Tamandua tetradactyla: one gene and its partner. The protein of the gene in region 1 binds, or shares a complex with, the protein of each later gene. Links are inferred from orthologs where the notes say so. Each region holds a gene or a part of one and is shown on either strand. Other genes may lie near its edges.

Region 1 (8,872 bases):
TCCTCTCTGTGAATCACCTCCCTTCCCTTCCTCTTACCTCTGCTACTTGATAATTTAGTTTGTTGACTCTCCTGGTTTTTCTTCCTCATTCTAGGTAAGAAGGGTAGGGAGGAGACCTGTAGGTCCCTTTGTCTGTCTGGAAGTCAGTGCTTTCCCAGAAGCCTCCCCAGGCTCTCCTTTATATCTCATTGGCCAGAACTGGTCACATGGCCACGCCTAGCTGCAAGGCAGGGTGGGAAAGGGGTATCGAGCTTTTCCAGTCTTTATTGGAGAGGGACGCAGGAGAGGGTTTGGGGTTACCTGCTAAAGGATCTGCCCCAAGAGGTAGAAATCAACCAATCTGCCTGCGTGGTTCATATGGAATATATGAAATGGTTTGAAACTTTAGTGCGTGCTACAAAAGTTGATTTAAAAATTGGATATATGTCCTGCAACCCACTTAGAGAGTCACTGGGCAATGAGTATGGGAAGTTCCAAAATGCACATCTAATTTGCCCTTGTCATTTCATCTTAAAAAAATAGTATCTGGAGGAAAGAACTCCAAAAAAGCAAAAATGCTGTATGTAGAGAATTATTCAGTGTAATATTGCCTAACATAGTAAACCACTTAAATCTCTTTACTTAATGGAATACTACATACCCATTAAAATGAAGCTATATGAAAATCTCTATGCTACAATGTTATACTAAAATGATGCAGAATGAAACCTACCCCATCATGACAAATTGATAAATGATATCAGTACAGGGCTGAAACCTGGGGGGGAGTTCAGAAAAGCTGATAAGTTATGGTGGTTGGACTGTGTGTTGTATTTTCTTTAATATTGTCATAATACTGTTTGTATAGTCAATACAACTGGGAGAAGAATGCACAATTACACTAACTTCCTAGGCCTGACTCAACCTCTCTCAGGTTCAGTGGGATCAGATACCTTAGGATGTACCTGACCCACTTTCCAGAAATGACCCGTCCCATAGAGTTGAAGAGAGATTGCTGTCCTTTGACATTTGCCTCCACCCCTAGAAGCAAAAGCATCCCCATAAAAAAGTTCATGGTTCTCCTCCACCCAACCAGTGCAACTTCCTTCCTGTCTTACTCTAGGAGTGAGTAGTTTTCTCCCTGGTCCTCACTGGGTCAGGCCCTGAGCTACTTCTGCTTTTGAGGGGTGAAGTAAGAAGAACTATTTCAGGGGCATAGCTGTCCCTGCCCTGCAAACAGCTGCTGGTCTTGAATGTGATCTTGGTAAGAATACCCATGACTCTGGTAGGGCGGTTTCTCTCACCCGCCTATATTTGAACCCCTGCTTGGACAACTGAGGAAGGAGGGTGGAACAGATTTCTAACTGAGTAACAGTGAGGCAACTTTGAGGTCGACAAACTTTTTATGTTTCACTGGACTGTGTTAACCACAACATTGGTCAACTTAAGGCACAGTAAGTAGAAAAATTATTGCAAATACGCTTTGACATCTATTATCTAATTGAGTTGTCACAACAACCCCAAGAGATGAATACTATTATTACCTGAATTTCTCAGATGAGGACTAAGGGGTTCATAGAGTAGCTATGAGGTCCAAATTCACACATTTATAAAACCAGCATTTTGAACTCTTAGTCTGACCCCAGACCTCAAAGACTTAGCCGGTTTGTTGTAGATGACAGTCAAGTGAAGGTTTTCTTGACAACCTGGTGCAACGGAAATGAATATTTTATTTGTGCTTCCCAGAAACTTCTCAGGAGGGTGGCTCCTGTGTGGCCAGTTCCGATGAATGTAGTTGGTTAAGCAAATTGGTGGAGTTTAGACAGAGCTTAATTGTCTGTGTAACCAAGGGAGAGAGATTTTCAGGGGTGGGTATGGGAGATTGTACTGAGAAAGAGAGGAGCTATGATTCTGGGTGATATTGGGGCAGCAGGAGTTGAGGGAGACCCAGCCAACCCCATTCCTTTGAGATCACACTGAATAATTGGAGGGAGAACTGACATCTTTATTATATTGTCATGTCATCTGTGAATGTGGCCTACCTCTCTATTCTTTTATGCCTTTCAGGAAAATCCAAGTTTTTAAAAATAGAGTTCTTCCATATTGCTTGCTAGATTCATGCCTAAATATTTTGTAGTATTTTTGGTGCTACAAATGGTGTCTTTCCTATTATATTTTCTGACTAGATCAGAAATAAGAATGGCAAATAAGAAATGAATTAGATTTTTATATATTGATCTCACTGAACAAGATTAGTTCTAACAAGTTGTCAGTTAACGACCTTGGATTTTCACAATAGTTGATCATACCCTCGGCAAATAATGACCTTTTTGTCCACTGAATCCCCCTCTAGGATGAAACAGAGTTATGCTTGGATGTTATTCCTTCCCATCCTGTTTTCTCTTGAGAAAGCAATGAAAGGGGTCAGAACAGTTCTTTCTCTTGAAGCAATTTCCATATGGTCCCTCACTCAGCATATCTTATCACTTTCTGCAAGTTAACTCTGATCTTCTCTTACTAATGATCAGCTTCTTCTGCTTATTTATAACTTCATTTTATGCAAGCCTTCTCCAAACTCAGATCTACAACCTGATGTTTCAGCCTCAGCTCCCACTGCTAACTGGAAATTCTTCTCAGTAGGTCTTAGTTCTTAGTCCAAATTCCCAGGGAATTTGAGTGGTTCCAACTTATCTTCCCATTTCATGTTACCTCATTCATTCAGTTAATTTTCATTATAAACCAGGCACTGTTCTGTGCACTGGAGATAGAGGAGTGAGCAAGACAGAAAAAAATTTCTGCAGTCATGGAGCTTATGAACTCTAGTAGGGGAATCAGACAATAGACAACTAAATTCATATATAATATAATTATATATTATGTATATTTTATATATTATTTATATAAATATTTTATATATTTGTATAATATAGCATAATTTCAGGTAATAATAAGTGCTATGAACAAATATCAAGGATCTGTAACAGATGCTGTAGTGGTTGCACCCATATCCCATCAGCATTTAACATTCTTGTGCAAGCTGGCCAGATTTCCAGCTGCTATTACCTGCAACTGCTTACCTGAGAACTTTCCGGCTGGAGCCTCCTCTGGCTGGCAATGCCAGAAAATCAGGGCTTCCCTAGAGAGCAGCCTTCAACCAATAGCTGATGCAAGTTGTGAATAAAAATCTAGTTCCCGTGCTTCTCAGGTGGGATAACTCTCAGACTTGCTCTACGCTGGCTGCCAGAATTCCTCAGTGAATTGAGTTTCAGTTGCCCACGCAGATAACTTGTTTCATAACCCACTTTTTATGGCCTCCTTCCCTTTTCCCTTTCCCACCAGTATTTCCTGGATCACCTCCTAAATAAATTGCTTGCATTCAAAACCTTGTCTCAGGATCCACTTATAGGCGAATCCAAGCTAAAGATGATATCAGGAGTGGAGTGGGGGCCAGGAAGGAGAGAATGAGTATCGGTGTGTAGGTGGGCTGGCCTGGTCGGGTGCCCACCATGGTCTCTGGTCACATGCACACCCACTGGGGGGTCGTTGAGAAAGAATCTGCGGGCTGGAGTTATTCTGAGACTTTGCCTGTACCTTACAGAGGGTGGGCCCTGCTTGGAATAGAGAGGGCCTGCCAGTGCTGAGCTAGAGCCGCCCCTGTGGTGGTCAGAGCGTGAAAGCTTTTGCCAAAACCAACCGTGCTTATCTCTTAGACTACGTAGCACCACACTTTGGTGTGTATTTTCTAGTGGATCTAGAATGTTCCTGTATCCTCAGCCCTTTTACCTTTTAATACAAATAGATATTTTGTTGTTTTAAATGGTTTCCTGGTAGGTTTTCTTTTTCTTCAGATTAGAAAAGTCATTCATTTTTTGTTGTGATTTAAAAGTTTTAAGTAAAAAAAAATACAGAAGAAAATTAAAATCATCCCGCGGCAGATTGGAGATGGCCACAAATCCTTTGACTTTCAATGAGAACTGCCTGGCAAGGTCAGCCAACAGACAGACCTAGACAATATAATATTAAATTGCTGTATGAGGCCAGTAAATGTTGGGGTCATTTGCTATGCTGCAAAAGATAACTGGAGCACACCTGTGGCTCTGTCATCTGCAGATAACCACTGTTAGCATTTTGGTTTTCAAACAGCTGATTTTAAAACAGATGCACAGATTTTTTTTTAACTGTTTACAGACAATCATGCGTAAAATACAGGTTTCCCAAACCCCCCACAACCACCTTGCATTACTGTGAAACATTCGTTACAATTGAGGACAGCGCATTTGTATAATTGTACTATTAATTAAAGTCTATTAACCCTATTAACTTACGGTTCCGTATTTGTGTAGTGTAGTTCCATGGATCTTAAAATTTTTTAAAAATTCTGTTGTTATATTTCCCTTGGGAAAATGTTAGATTGTATATATGACAACAATGTTGTGCTACCATCACCTAAACATTTCCATCATTCCAAATAGGAACCCTGTACATTTTAAGCCATAACTTCCCATTACCTTTTCCCACCCTGTCCCCTGGTAACCTAAATCCTAGATTCTGACTCTTTAAGTTTACTTATTCTAATTGTTTCAGCTCAGTGAGATCATACACTATTTATCCTTTGTATCTGGCTTATTTCATTTCACATGATGTCGTCAAGGTTCAGCTATGCTTTCACATGTATCAGGACTTCATTCCTCTTTACAGCTGTATAATATTCCATTGTATATATATATATACACCATGTTTTATTTATCCATAACACACAGAATTTTTATGGGCTTTTATTTTTTTCCATCAGCAAACATTTGTTTCTATTTGAATATTGGGAAAATAGAACTAGGGACAAAGGAAAAGTTATGAGAGAAAGAATAGAGAAGTTATCTGCTTGAGAATCACATATGGTCATACACAAGATATGGTTTGGTGTTCTATATATTTCATAGAATTTCATATTGCAAGTATCTTTCCATGTCTTTGAAAACAGATTTACAAGTGACTGCACTCCATGGAATGGGACTCCCAACAGAGTGGGACATTATTTAACCACTCCCCTGTTGCTGGATATTTAGGCTGTTAGTAGTTTCTCACTGTAATAAACAATGCTGCTGCACCCAAGTTTGTACATATATCTTGGACTGCACTTCTGAGTTATTCCTTGGGGTAAAAACTTGAAGGGGAAAATTCTTGGGCAAAGGGTTTCAGCATTTTAAAGCTTTTTCTTTCTTAAAGCAAAATATCCAAAAGGCACTGGGTTTTTTTGGTTTGGTTTTTTGGGCACTGGATTTTTCTGCTCCTGAATTGTCCTTGTTGATGGCTACAGAGGAAGACAATTCTGGCTGAAGGATGCCGGTGCTTCTGTGGGCTAGAGGAGGGACATGTTACAAAGTTTGCTTGGATTGTTTAGAACATATGTTCCAGGAGGCATCCTCCAAGTCCATCCAGCTTGCTTTTCACAATGCTTTGGCCAATGTCAGAAGTAGGTGGGCAACACATGACACCTTCTTGATAGGGATTTTGATGGTTTCAGCCAGGAAGCTGGGCAGGAAGGGAGAAGGCTGCGCACAGTCCCAGGAGGAAGGTCAAGCAGGGCTGTGTGTTCACTGAGTCCCGCCCTCTTCCTTTGGGTCTCTAATCAAACTTCTGCCTTCTACTTCTCACTTTCCACCCTTCCTGGCTTTGGTGACTTCCTTGAGATAGCTCAGTGGTACCCAAGCTCAGCGGTTCCTGCTCCTTCCAGCCATGACTCGAAGAGTTCTACTGTTGACAGGTGCCTGAGGGGGCTGAGGAGGCTCTTAGGGTGGGGAGGAAGTTGACTTTTGGGTCTGTGAGTGGAGATAGAGGGCACAGAATATCTAGGGGTTAGACTGGGGGTGGGAACAAATGGAACTTGGGGAAAGATAAAGGGTTTAAGAAGCAGAGTGCTGCTAGTTCAAGATGAGCTGTCCAGAGAAGAGCATGGACAAATGACTAAATCTGTAGCCTGGGCAAGGAGGTTTGATGGTTTCCTTCACTTTATGGATGAGGAAACTGAAGCCCAGAGAGGTGATGTGACTTGCCCAAGTGCACGCAGCTGGTATGGGACTCCTCTCCCAGAGCATTTCCTCTTGGACTCCACCTTCCATCCCTACTTTGCCTCCAGTCCTATTTTCCAGGTGTCAATGTTTGTTAAGTGACTGATAGATCAAAATGATTTGAATTTGTTGTCTTTTAAGCCTGTTTTGCTGAGAATGAGCTGAAGGAGGGAAGGAAATTCTTGAGAGTTATGTAGGAAGGAAATTACCCAACAGAACGTTTATAGAAACTTGATTGTTGGGCAAATCAGTGGTGTGGGGGCGCTGTGAGAAAGGGTGATTTGTGAGTTCAACAAGGAGGGTGAAGCGCAGAGAGCGGCTCATTGTGTCCCTTCATGATGACCCAAGTAGACCTCAGGCCAGGGGTTGGCAAACTATCCTTGTGCAATCTGTGAGCTAATATCAGCTTTTAAGATGAACATTGGTAATTGATTTGATGATAGGGAATGCTAACTTTGCACCCCAATTAAGCAAAATGTTATCCCCCCCAAAGAATTCTATTTGTTTCATTAGTAGACCTTCAGGGTCAAAAAATTATACTAAATTATTATTATGATATTTTGAATTTCCTCAATTAAAATTTTTGTGGCAATGGGTTTTCTCTCTTGTTATATACATATATGTAATATACCCTATTTTGACTCTTATCCATCAAAGCCTAAAATATCTGCTATCTGGGCCTTTACGGAAATGTGTGGTCACCCCTGTCTCAGGTTATCAGTGCTGGACCTGGGAGGCAAGACATTTGAGTAGGGGGCACCCAGGAGGAAGTTGCTTGGAGCAGGACGGGACTCTGCTTGCTTTGTTGTTCCCTTTACTCCCGCTGACCCTCACCCCCTTGTTCTCCCTCCAGCCCTGTCCTTGTGTCATGGGTTCAACCTGGACACTGAAAACTCAAAGATCTTCCAAATCAACGCAAGGGGCTTTGGGCAGAGCGTGGTCCAGTTTGAGGGATCCCGGTAAGAGCCTCAGGTGGAGTTTCCTGCCTCCTGTGCGTTCCCTCCAAATACCTGAAAAAAAAAAAAAGACAATTTCCTTGATATATATTTTTATTGTGAAATATAACAGATACACAAAGAAAAGAAAGAAACGGCAATAATTTTCAAAGTAGACATCAACAGGCAGCTACAGAACAGAACAGATTTCAAAGTTTGTTACGGGTCCGTTCCAACTATTTCAGGTTTTCCCTTCTAGCTGGCTCCAAAACTCTGGAGGCTAGAAGGAGTATTAATAGAGTGATTCAACAGTCATACTCGTTTATTAAATCCTGTTTTGTCTGTTATAGCTCCTCCTTCTCCTTTGATTCTTCTCTCAATCGATAGGGATCTTTAGGCAGTGCCTCTTCTGACTTTTTCATGTTGAGAAAGGGTATTGACACCAAAGAATAGGGGGGGTGTAATTAGCTGATAATCTTGGAGAGGCTGGTCCCTCTGGGTTTCGGGATTTATCTGACCTTGGAACCCTTTGGAAATTATAGGTTCCAGAAAAGCAAACAGTGCCTGAAACTATTAGAGAAACTCAGTTTGAGCCCTAGGTGTTCTTAAGAGTTAAAGGGAGTGATATTGGTTGGGGTTTAGCAAACCATGGCAATTAGCATTATCTAACTGAAGCTTGCATAGGAGCAGCCTCCAGAATAGCCTCTTGACTCTATTTGATCTCTCTTAGCCACTGATGCCTTGTTTTACTACAATTTTACTGGTTTTGTTCAGGAAGGGGTTGTCGATCCCAAGATGCCAGGGCCAGACTCATCCCGGGGTGTCACGCCCCAAGTTGTCAGGGAGACTTTCACCCCTGAATGTCATGTGCTAGTAGCGGAGAGGGTAATCATTTTCCTTGCAGAGTTGGGCTAAGAGAGAGAGAAGCCACATCTGAGCAATGAAAATATTTTTTGAATTTTAAGTTGTAGGTTCTAAATTCAAAAGATACAAAAAGGTGTAACAGTAAAAAGTCTCTTCCTCATTCCTTTCATTCAAGTCTCTTCCCAGGAAAGAACCACAAGATAAATGGTTTCTTGTGTATAGCACATTGTGTATAGCACACGTTACACCTTATACCAGAGACTGGCCAAACCACAACTTGTGGTCTCTGTCTGGTTGTAAGTTTTATTGAGCTGAGACTGTATGTCCTGTAAAGTATAAATTATTTACTATCTAAACTTAACAGAAGTTTGCAGACATCTGCTTATACTGTCCCTTGCTTCCGCCCCCCTTTCTTAATATAGTTTGGTGATTTTACCAAATAAGTACATAAAGAACCTCATTCTTTCTTATGCTTGCATTGTGTTTCTATTATATAGAGATACTGTGATTTACATTTATAGTACATTAAATCTCTTCTTATTGTGCATGTAGATTATTTCCAAACTTTGCTATACAAACAAAGCTGTCACTATGCCTTGTTTATGTGCAAGTATATTTGGAAATAAATTCCTAGAAGTGGATTGCTGGATCAAAGAGTACACGTGCAGATTGCACATAATTTTAATAGATTTTTCCAGATTAGCTTCCATAGAGGTGACCTCAACTTACATTTACAGCAGAAATTTATGAAAATACCTACTTCCCTAGCCATTTGGTAGCCCAATGGGTTATCAATATCATGGACTTTTTCAAATTTGATAAGTGTGAAATGGTATCCTAATTAGTTTCAAATTGCATTTCTCTTTTTATGAGTGATATATTGCGTTTCCTTCTCTGTGAACACTTTTTCTCATCTGCTGCTCATTTTTCTATTAAACTATTGTTTTGTTTTACTTATTGGTTTCTAAGAGCTTTGGCTGTTTTTGCAAGGTAGTCGGTGCGTGAGTTGCTCATCTCCCTTGCCCAGCT
Region 2 (8,645 bases), on another chromosome or scaffold:
AACTCTCATTAGGAGGATATTCCTTTATATGCTCAAATTACTGAGAATTTTTTTTCATGAAGGGGTATTGAATTTTGTCAAATATGTTTTCTACATCATGTGTTCCTTTCCCTCCTACTTGATTTTCTTAATGTGATGAATTATATTAACTGATTTTAAAATGTTAAACCAAATTTGCATTCTTGGGATAGATATCATCCATCATGATGTATTATGTTCTTTCTAAATTGCTGATTTTGTTTGATAATATTTGTTAAGGACTTTGGCATCCATGTCCCTGAGGATCTGTAGTTTTGTTTCCTTGTGATCTCTGACCAAGGATATTTCAAGTCTGATTATCTGGGATGAGTGAGCCTGGGTGAAACCATTGTCTAAGGTCTGTTTCTCAGCTCTGCCAATTTAGAACATTGATCTTATCAGTTCTTTACTGGAAGGCAAGTTTAAGGAGCTTAAATCAAGTTACTTAGATTATTCAGAGACTGATGAACTGCAAATGTATTAAATTACAGGGAGAAATTTTAGCAGGCATTGTTCATTGTTTCCCAGATCCTTTCCACCTCTTCCTTTTTCTAGTATAATTTTATTTGGCTACCTGACTAGGGAAGCAAACCTATACTCTACTAGAGTTTGGCCTTGTTTACTGTAATCGAATATGCCTGAAGTTTCTTGTAACCATCCCAAGGAGTCCTAGATCAAAAACTGAAATGCAAAGTTAAAAGATGGAAAGACCTACGTCCTTGAAGACTGAAATACAGACTTCATCCACCTATATTTTAAGTGAGATAAATTCCTGACTTATTTAAACTAGTTTTAGTTGTTTTTTTATTTCCAATCAAAAAACAGCATACATATTACAAAAATATAGCTAAGAGAGAAGTAGGTTTTATAATCTGGTCACAGCAAAGTTATTAAATTTGAAATATTTCAGGGAGAGAAAGAGAAATGAATTAATGAGAATATTATCAAACTATGATAGCTTGATGAATTGCCCTTTTGCATTCTAGGGATATTGAAGAACCCAGAGCGATAATCAAGAATCTGAATTTTCTGCCAAGCAGGCAATCCAAGAGACACAATGACAAATTTTTCAACATGTTTCTTAACATTTTTTTAACTTCATGCTGATCACACTTCTCCTTGTATTTGTCACCGTAAAATTAGCAGCCTCATTTTCAACACAGCCTTAGGACATGTTATAATTTCTATGATTTTGAATCATCTTATATTAGTTATATTTTAGTCTGGAAACTCTTATGCAAGGGCCTCATTAATTGTACCTGGAAAGACCAAGCATTAGGAAGCCAAAATAACTTCTGACAGGAAATTTTGGGGACAGAGAAAATGTTAACGGGTAAACTATAGGAACAAGGGGAAGATATTTGGACAAGGCATGATTGCAACAGTCTCCCAGCTAGGATCTGTGCTTTCACCCTTGACCTCATGTGCTCTACTCTCAACACATCAGAGACTTTGTGAAATGGAGTCAGGCTTTTTTAATCCTCTACCCAAAGCCCCCATTTCAATCAGAAAAAATGTATATTTCTTACAGTGGCCAAAGGCTGAGCATGATCTGGTCTGTCAACTCCCCAACCTCACCTTCTCCCAAACTCCTCCTCAGCCATTGGATTCCAGCTACAATGGTCTCCTTACAGTTTCTCTAAGACACCAGGCAAGGTCTGGACTCAAGGCCTTTACATTCACTGATCCTGCAGTCTAGAGACTCTTCTCCCAAATACTTGCTTGGCTTGTCACCTCAACTTTTGTAAGCCTTCACTCCAATTTCACCCCAGGGAGTCTTTCCTCCCCCAAATCTGCATTTTTATTTAATTCTTATTTAATCTTCAGTATCTTATTTTTTCCGTGAAGCATATCACATCTTTAATGTACACTACAAAGATAAACCTTAAAGACATCATGTTGAGTGAAATAAGGCAGACACAAAAGGACAAATATTGTATGGTCTCGTTGATTTGAAACAAAATAAGCAAACTCATAGACTGTAGGTTACCAGGAGACAAGGTGGGAATAGGGAATGAGAAGCCAGGACTTAAAATATACGTGGTTCCTATTTGGAATGATGGAAATATTTTAGTAACAGATGGTGGTGATGGTAGCACAATATTGTGAAGACAACTAACAACACTAAAATATATATCTGAATATTATTTAAAGGAGAAATGTTAGAATGTACATATGGTAACAGAATTATAAAAACAAACAAACATGGAACTACACTACACAAGTTAACCCATGGACTTTATTTAGTAGTACAATTATAAAAATGTGCTATCATTAATTGTAACAAATGTTCCACACTGATGCAAGGTGTTGGTGATGGTACAGTATATGGAAATTCTATATTTTATCCACAATTGTTCTGTAAACCCACAACTTCTCTAATAAAGAAAACAATGAAAAAAAGTAAGTTATATGAAACAAGTAATTTTTTAGTTTTTTTTATTCATGAGTCTTACCAATGCACAAAAATGTAATAAGTGCTCAAAGAATGTTGGTGAAATGACTGAACAACTTGAAATCTTAAAACAAAAGAGCCGTGACTATGGAATAGAATGAAGTGTGGATTTGAGATTGAACATTCAGAGGGCATTTAAATTAATGCTCTACTTAAATTCTCCATAAACCATGGATTGAATGAAATTAGTATTAATCTCAATTTTACAGATTTCTATTTCTTTCAAAAAACAACTCTTGAATCTTTCTTTACATTTTTAAAATTCAGTGATTAATAACATTAGTTAGGGTTTCTCAATCTCAACCCTATTAATATCTTGGGTCAAATAATTCTCTGTTACTTGTAGGATATTTGGTAGCACCTCTAGCCTGTGCATACTAGTAGCACCTCCCCACCAAGTTGCAGCTGTGACAATCAAAAATGTCTCCAACCTTTGCCAAATGTCTCCTGGAGGGCAAACATACCAAGTGAAAATCAATGATGTAAATAAATTTTATGATACCTATTTGAATAGAGGTATATTTTGATAGAATACATATAATTGAGCAGAAGGCTTTGGGAATCTCATACTTACTTTATCAGCCCTATAGGGAACACCACAATAAAGCTAACATTGTTCACCTGGTAGCAACAGGTTATCTTTGTAGATGCTCAGAAAAAGTTTAAGAAGTAAAAGGAAATAGACAACCCTCTGTTTAATGGCCTGGAAACTCCACCTCTAGGGACTGACAGGAAATGTTGAGAAGTCCTTTTAAGGAAGGACCTGGAAAAAGTATTAAAAAATAACAATGTGATTCTTCCACAATTTAATTTAATGAAATTACATTAAAGCAAGCATTGCTTGCTTCATCAGGAAAATGGAATCACAAAAGGAAAATAGGCAACCTGAAAACTGTGTATAGAGGAAAGCAGTTAGTTCCTTATTTATTTCATTTGAAGATAGGGTGGGCTGTATTAAGGTTCTCCAGAGAAGCAGAATAAGTTTATCATAGGAATTGGTCATGCAACTATAGAGATTAGCAAGTCTGTATTTTGCAGGTCAAGATGCAAGTTGGAAACTCCAATGAATGTGAAACTGAATTCCCTAGAGGAAGCTAGCTGGTTGAAGTAGAGGTAGACATTCCTTTTAACTTCTGAAATCTCAGTTCTGGCTTTTAAGACCTTCAACTGATTGGATGAGGAGCCTCCCTTGTTGCTGAAAGTTATCTCTTTTGTTGCTTGTAGATGCAGTCAGAGTTAGATGCAATTAACTGACAACAGATGCTAACTCATCTATCAAATACCGTCACAACAACAATCAGGCCAGTGCTTGCTTGACAAAACAACTGGATACCATGACCCAGACACGTTGACATTTGACGTTAACAATCACAAGAGTATATTTGGAGAAGTTGGTTATGGAGATAGACTGGAGGCGTGCAAATGAATTGCTTATCCTTCTCTTAAAAAGACAAAAAAAAGCTTCACTTATTTACTTATTAAAAATTCTACCCAGACAGCTACTCTATGAGGCACTCATCCAGATAACCAGTCAATATAAAGGCTCAGGAGTCCCTAAAAACTACTTGCTACAAAACAATTCTTCAAATTTGGGGGGTTTAAGAATGATTCTAAGTGTTTAAGAGTTAAATGAGGTACATAATACATATTTTTGAAATTGACTTAAGGAGATGTAATCTCTGATCTATGGGAAATGGAAGGATATTTTACAACTGCATTTGGGGTGTACACCATCAAACGGTAAACTGAAGGATGTGAAAATGTGATGCAAGAAGCAGGAAGCAACAACTGATGAATGGAAGAAAAATTGCCCTTTTTATATTTTGAGAATGTTTGTGTAAATTTGTTTTATAATTCTTAAGCATTTTACACAATATCTCATTTTTATCACATTCATTTTTTGTATCACTAAAACAATTCTAGATTAATCACCTTAGAATCTTCCTTTAACTGAAGGAGATGGGAATTCCAGAGAGCCATGAAACCCAGGCTCTGAGTTAGACAAACCACAGAGTTTGAGTTACATTGATTAATCCCTAATGTCTGGGTGTCAAAGGCATGTCCCTAAATAGGTCAGTAAAGGTACCAAGCAATTCAAAAGGAGAAAGAGTCCCCTAAAGGAAAGTGACACTTAATTGGGAATTTTCAGGCATCTGCCATTCTTTGTGACAAGCACAGAAAAGTACCTTGCACATTTTGTGACATGCAGGTGAGTGAACATGTAATGGGACTGACATTCGAGGAAACTAGGACTTGTTACACGTGTAGGAAGGGAATCTGCAGAAATGAAAAGCCAGGATTTTAAGAGTGCGCATTTTCATCCTCCAAATCATTTGCTTCTAAAGGGGCCAATATTGTAACTTGAAATGCCATCGATTTTATACTCAAGACAGCCTACTCTGTAAACTGGGGTATCTACTCCTCCAAAAAAAATAGCTAATGCTTGAAGTTTAGAAAAGAAATACGGGGTGCATTTTCTTTGCTAACAAAAACAAAACAAAACAATGTTACATCTCATCACCTATTCCTTCAAATCCGCTTTCTTGCTCGTGTAGGGGAGAGACGGCCCCTGGAGTATTCTCCTTTTAATAAACTCCCAATCAGCTCTCAACCGCGCTCTCCCTCCCTAGCCCGGCCCGCGTAATCTCTGCCCGTCCCTCTCATCCCTCCCATTCTCCATTTCCTTTCCGTTCACTCCCTGTCAGGGAGTACTTGAGTCCAAGGCAGGATCAGGTTCCCCGCCTTCCAGTCCAAAAATCCCGCCAAGGGAGTTCCAGAACGGAGGAAAATCCAAAGTGGGGAGAGGAGAAAAGAAAAAGAGAGAGACCAGTGAGTCAGTAGTCCAGCAGCGAGCGAAGGCAGCAGCAGCCGGCGGGAGCAGCAGCGAGTCCCGTACCTGGACTCCGGGAGCGGAAAACCTCGCCCCTTCCAACAAAGGCAGCCTGAGCGCGGGAGAGAACATTTGCAACTCAAAGTAAGTGAAAGGGAATGTGCGATTTTTTTTTTTTTTTTTTTTTTTTTGTGGCGTCTTGGAGTTCATTTTCTCTTCACCCCTGCCCACTTTTCTGAGCGTCGCCAGATTATGGTGGTAGATGGGAGAGGGGCTACCTGGTGTCTTTGCTAAAATTGCTTTCTAAACTGAACCGGATGCACAGGCAAATTAAAGCAAATTTGGGGGATTTAGGTCAGGATAGTTAGGGTACATTTAGATGAGTGGCAAGAAAGAAGCTTTTGTAATGTTTTGCATTCATTTGGGCGGTGTTTCTGCTAGCAGCTGTAGAATATGCCAGGGTGGGTTGGAGGAATGCTTTTTGGCTCTTTGCAAAACCTAATGCTTTAGTAGGTGTGTCTGTGGCTGGATAGAGAAGAGAGGCGGCCTGAGCAGGCGGGTCTCATTTTTCATTCTTTTCTGCTTCTGATTGCCCCTGGGGCTTGCCAACTGATGATTCTTAGCTGGCATTTCTAGGTAGGGTGTGAGGACCTCCCAGTGCCAGCTGAACTGAGCACTGTGCGCCCTGCCTGCCAGCCCAGAAAGGGTGCTAGGAATAGGTAAGTCCTAGGTTTAAATGAGCCACCTTGAATCCCATCCCTCATTTCAATGTTAACTTTAATAACTGCAGGGCACAGACACTTGAACTTTCTATTTCACCCACATGGACCTAGGATACATTTATTCCTAATTTGCCAGATACTTACAGCTTCTATCAGAGATGATGCTTCTAATAAGCCAAAATTACTTAAAATAGAGGAGTGTGTTCAACGTCTTCTCTACTGAACACATCGAATACAGAGCTTTCTTTCCTTAACGTGCTCACATGCTTTCTCCTTAACACACCACACACACACACACGCACACACACACACACACACACACAGAGTTTATATACATTCTTTTGTTCATTCACTCCTATCTCTGTTAACAGCTTCTTTGTAACTTTGAGGATATCTTGAGAATATAGGAGTGGAATCAGGAAGAGAAGTGGGAGAGGAGAATGAAGAATTTGAGGGAAACAAAATTCTAGCCTTTCAGCATTTCATTTTAAGGGTCATCTAGACATTTTGCTTAAGGAGCTTAAGAAAGATGTGGAGTGTATGCGTGTGCATGTGCATGGTTGCACACGCATGCGTGTGTGTGTGTGTGCTGGAGGGTAGGGTAGGGAGGAGATCAAGAAACTACCAAGGAGCTCTTTTGAACTAATAACATAATGAACCAGTTTTGTGATCCTAGGCAAATGTGGACTTGACGAAATAGTACAACCAATTTTTGTCCCTTGATCATCTGAGGACATGTTGATATGTGTAAGTATTAAAAGGCAAATGGAGTGAAACAAAAGAGAAGTTTCACAATGTGGATAATGAAGCTTTTATATTTCATCTTTAGTATGCTCCTTCTAAAGCAAATTATGCCCTTTAAAGACCAAATCATTAAAAACACTCACAATCCTGTTAGTTTGAAGGAAAATAGAGTGGACATGATCTCTTTTCCCTCTCCCTTTGGCATGAGTTATCTCAGAATAGCAATATTTGTACTTTCTCAGTTAAATAAGATGATAATTTTTTTAAGATTAAGCAACTAATGCTATTCTTTTGAGAATTTTTGTACTTGAAGAGATATCTTGCTGTTCTTTAACCATTTGGAAGGCAATTTTTTCCTTTTCCACTGTTCACAGATCCCATTTAGCACTTTCTTTTCCTGATTTAGTGGAAGGCTTCTATGAGGGATACCCACTTAAAGCCATTTGTAACGGCATTAGGTACTGTGTTCCAGCTGTTTGCTTGGGGAAACAAACGCATTATTTTCTCAGTAGTAGGAAATGAAATTATTGTTATCATATGACTTCTATGAGCTGAATTTAATGTGATGTACTTAGACAATCTGGATAATATAATAAATGTATATAAATATATACATTTTATAGTACAATCTAAAATGTAATTGTGTGATTACTTAGACCTCTTCCCAGGAGATTTGGATCTATTAATTTACTGAAAGTTTTCATGTACCTTATTCCATCTTCACATGTAGCAACATGTAGCAGGACTCTTGCAAATTATGGACACTTAAAAATATATATATATGTATATATTAACTCTAGTAATGCCAGTGCCTGATTTGAATTTTCAGAAAACCTGATCATTGGAAATGGTCTAAAAACGAAATAAGGTCCCCAAATATTTTAACCATTTCCAAGAATCAAATCAACTTTAGAAATTAAATATTGTAATTAAATATTCTCTCTTTGGCGAATCTACTGCTTTTTCATTTAAATGTCATTCTCACATGAATTCTGGTCATAGTCTGATTTGTGGTGTGATGCTTTCATTACTACTCAGATTTTCCCAGGAAACGGAAGTTAGCCAGTTTGTTCAAATGGGTGCAATAAATTAATGGTAGATTGAGGACCAGAATTCAGAATTTAGAATATAAATTCCAGTTCTCTATAAACTTATGCTTCTTAACTTGGTGGCATGGGAATAAGGGGAGTTATCATTGCCCTATGTCCTGAAGATAATGTCCAAGTTGAGGACACTTTCAGTGATCTAAGACTAAATGGGTTCGGTTTCTAGATCGCCAGAGCACACTTCAACCCAGTTTAAACTCTGGTTGGCTCCAGATCACCAGACCAGGGTTTCAGTTCTCTGAATACTTTGGCTCCATTGTTTTGATGGTGATGCCTTCTCTATAAGGGTGAGAAATGTTTTCTCCTCTGGATGCTATTCTCATGATTAATTAGAAGTGCTTTTGTCTCCTCTTGGCACAATGCCATGTAATTGCCTTTAAGGGTAAAATAATATTCAGATACAGGCCTTCTTTTCTTGAACTGGGCCGACTTTTATTCCATCCACAGTCAATGGGCTTGATGAGAGTTTGGGCTATGGCATCACCTTTGAGAGTTATTCTCATATTTTGATGTTTATGGTTAATTCAAGTTTCTACCCTCTGGGCCATTTTTCCATCTATTTAATGATAGTTCTATATGTGGTACAGTTTCCATGGTATCATCACAATCTTCCTAGGTTATAAAATACAGCTTTTTTTTTTAGTATTTAGTAACTAAGAAGTTAAAGGCCCTCTGGTTTCAAAGGGTAGCGGCACTAAGCCATCATTACAGGGTATTATAATTGTGTTAATAATGTGGGTCTGATTACAAAGATCACATTCACTTCTTCT

Evidence for each region.
Region 2: the proteins of ITGAM (region 1) and PTN are in contact, whole or in part, in an NMR structure (PDB 8VOH), measured with the Homo sapiens proteins. The link is inferred for Tamandua tetradactyla from reciprocal best matches to the Homo sapiens genes ITGAM and PTN. Residues at the interface, in NP_000623.2 of Homo sapiens: Pro273, Asp276, Arg277, Gly279, Val280, Ile281, Arg282, Tyr283, Lys306, Pro307, Arg309, Asp310, His311, Ala334, Ile335, Glu336, Gly337, Thr338, Gln339; in NP_001308315.1 of Homo sapiens: Val56, Pro57, Thr58, Ser59, Asp61, Cys62, Gly63, Leu64, Thr66, Glu68, Thr79, Lys81, Thr82, Gln83, Arg84.

The regions. Positions count from the first base shown.
Region 1 is NC_135349.1:23,267,006-23,275,877, reverse strand, and holds the start of ITGAM (integrin alpha-M), read left to right. Parts: upstream 1-5,643; 5' UTR 5,644-5,712; coding exon 5,713-5,740; intron 5,741-6,897; coding exon 6,898-7,003; intron 7,004-8,872.
Region 2 is NC_135327.1:180,236,938-180,245,582, reverse strand, and holds the start of PTN (pleiotrophin), read left to right. Parts: upstream 1-5,140; 5' UTR 5,141-5,447; intron 5,448-8,645.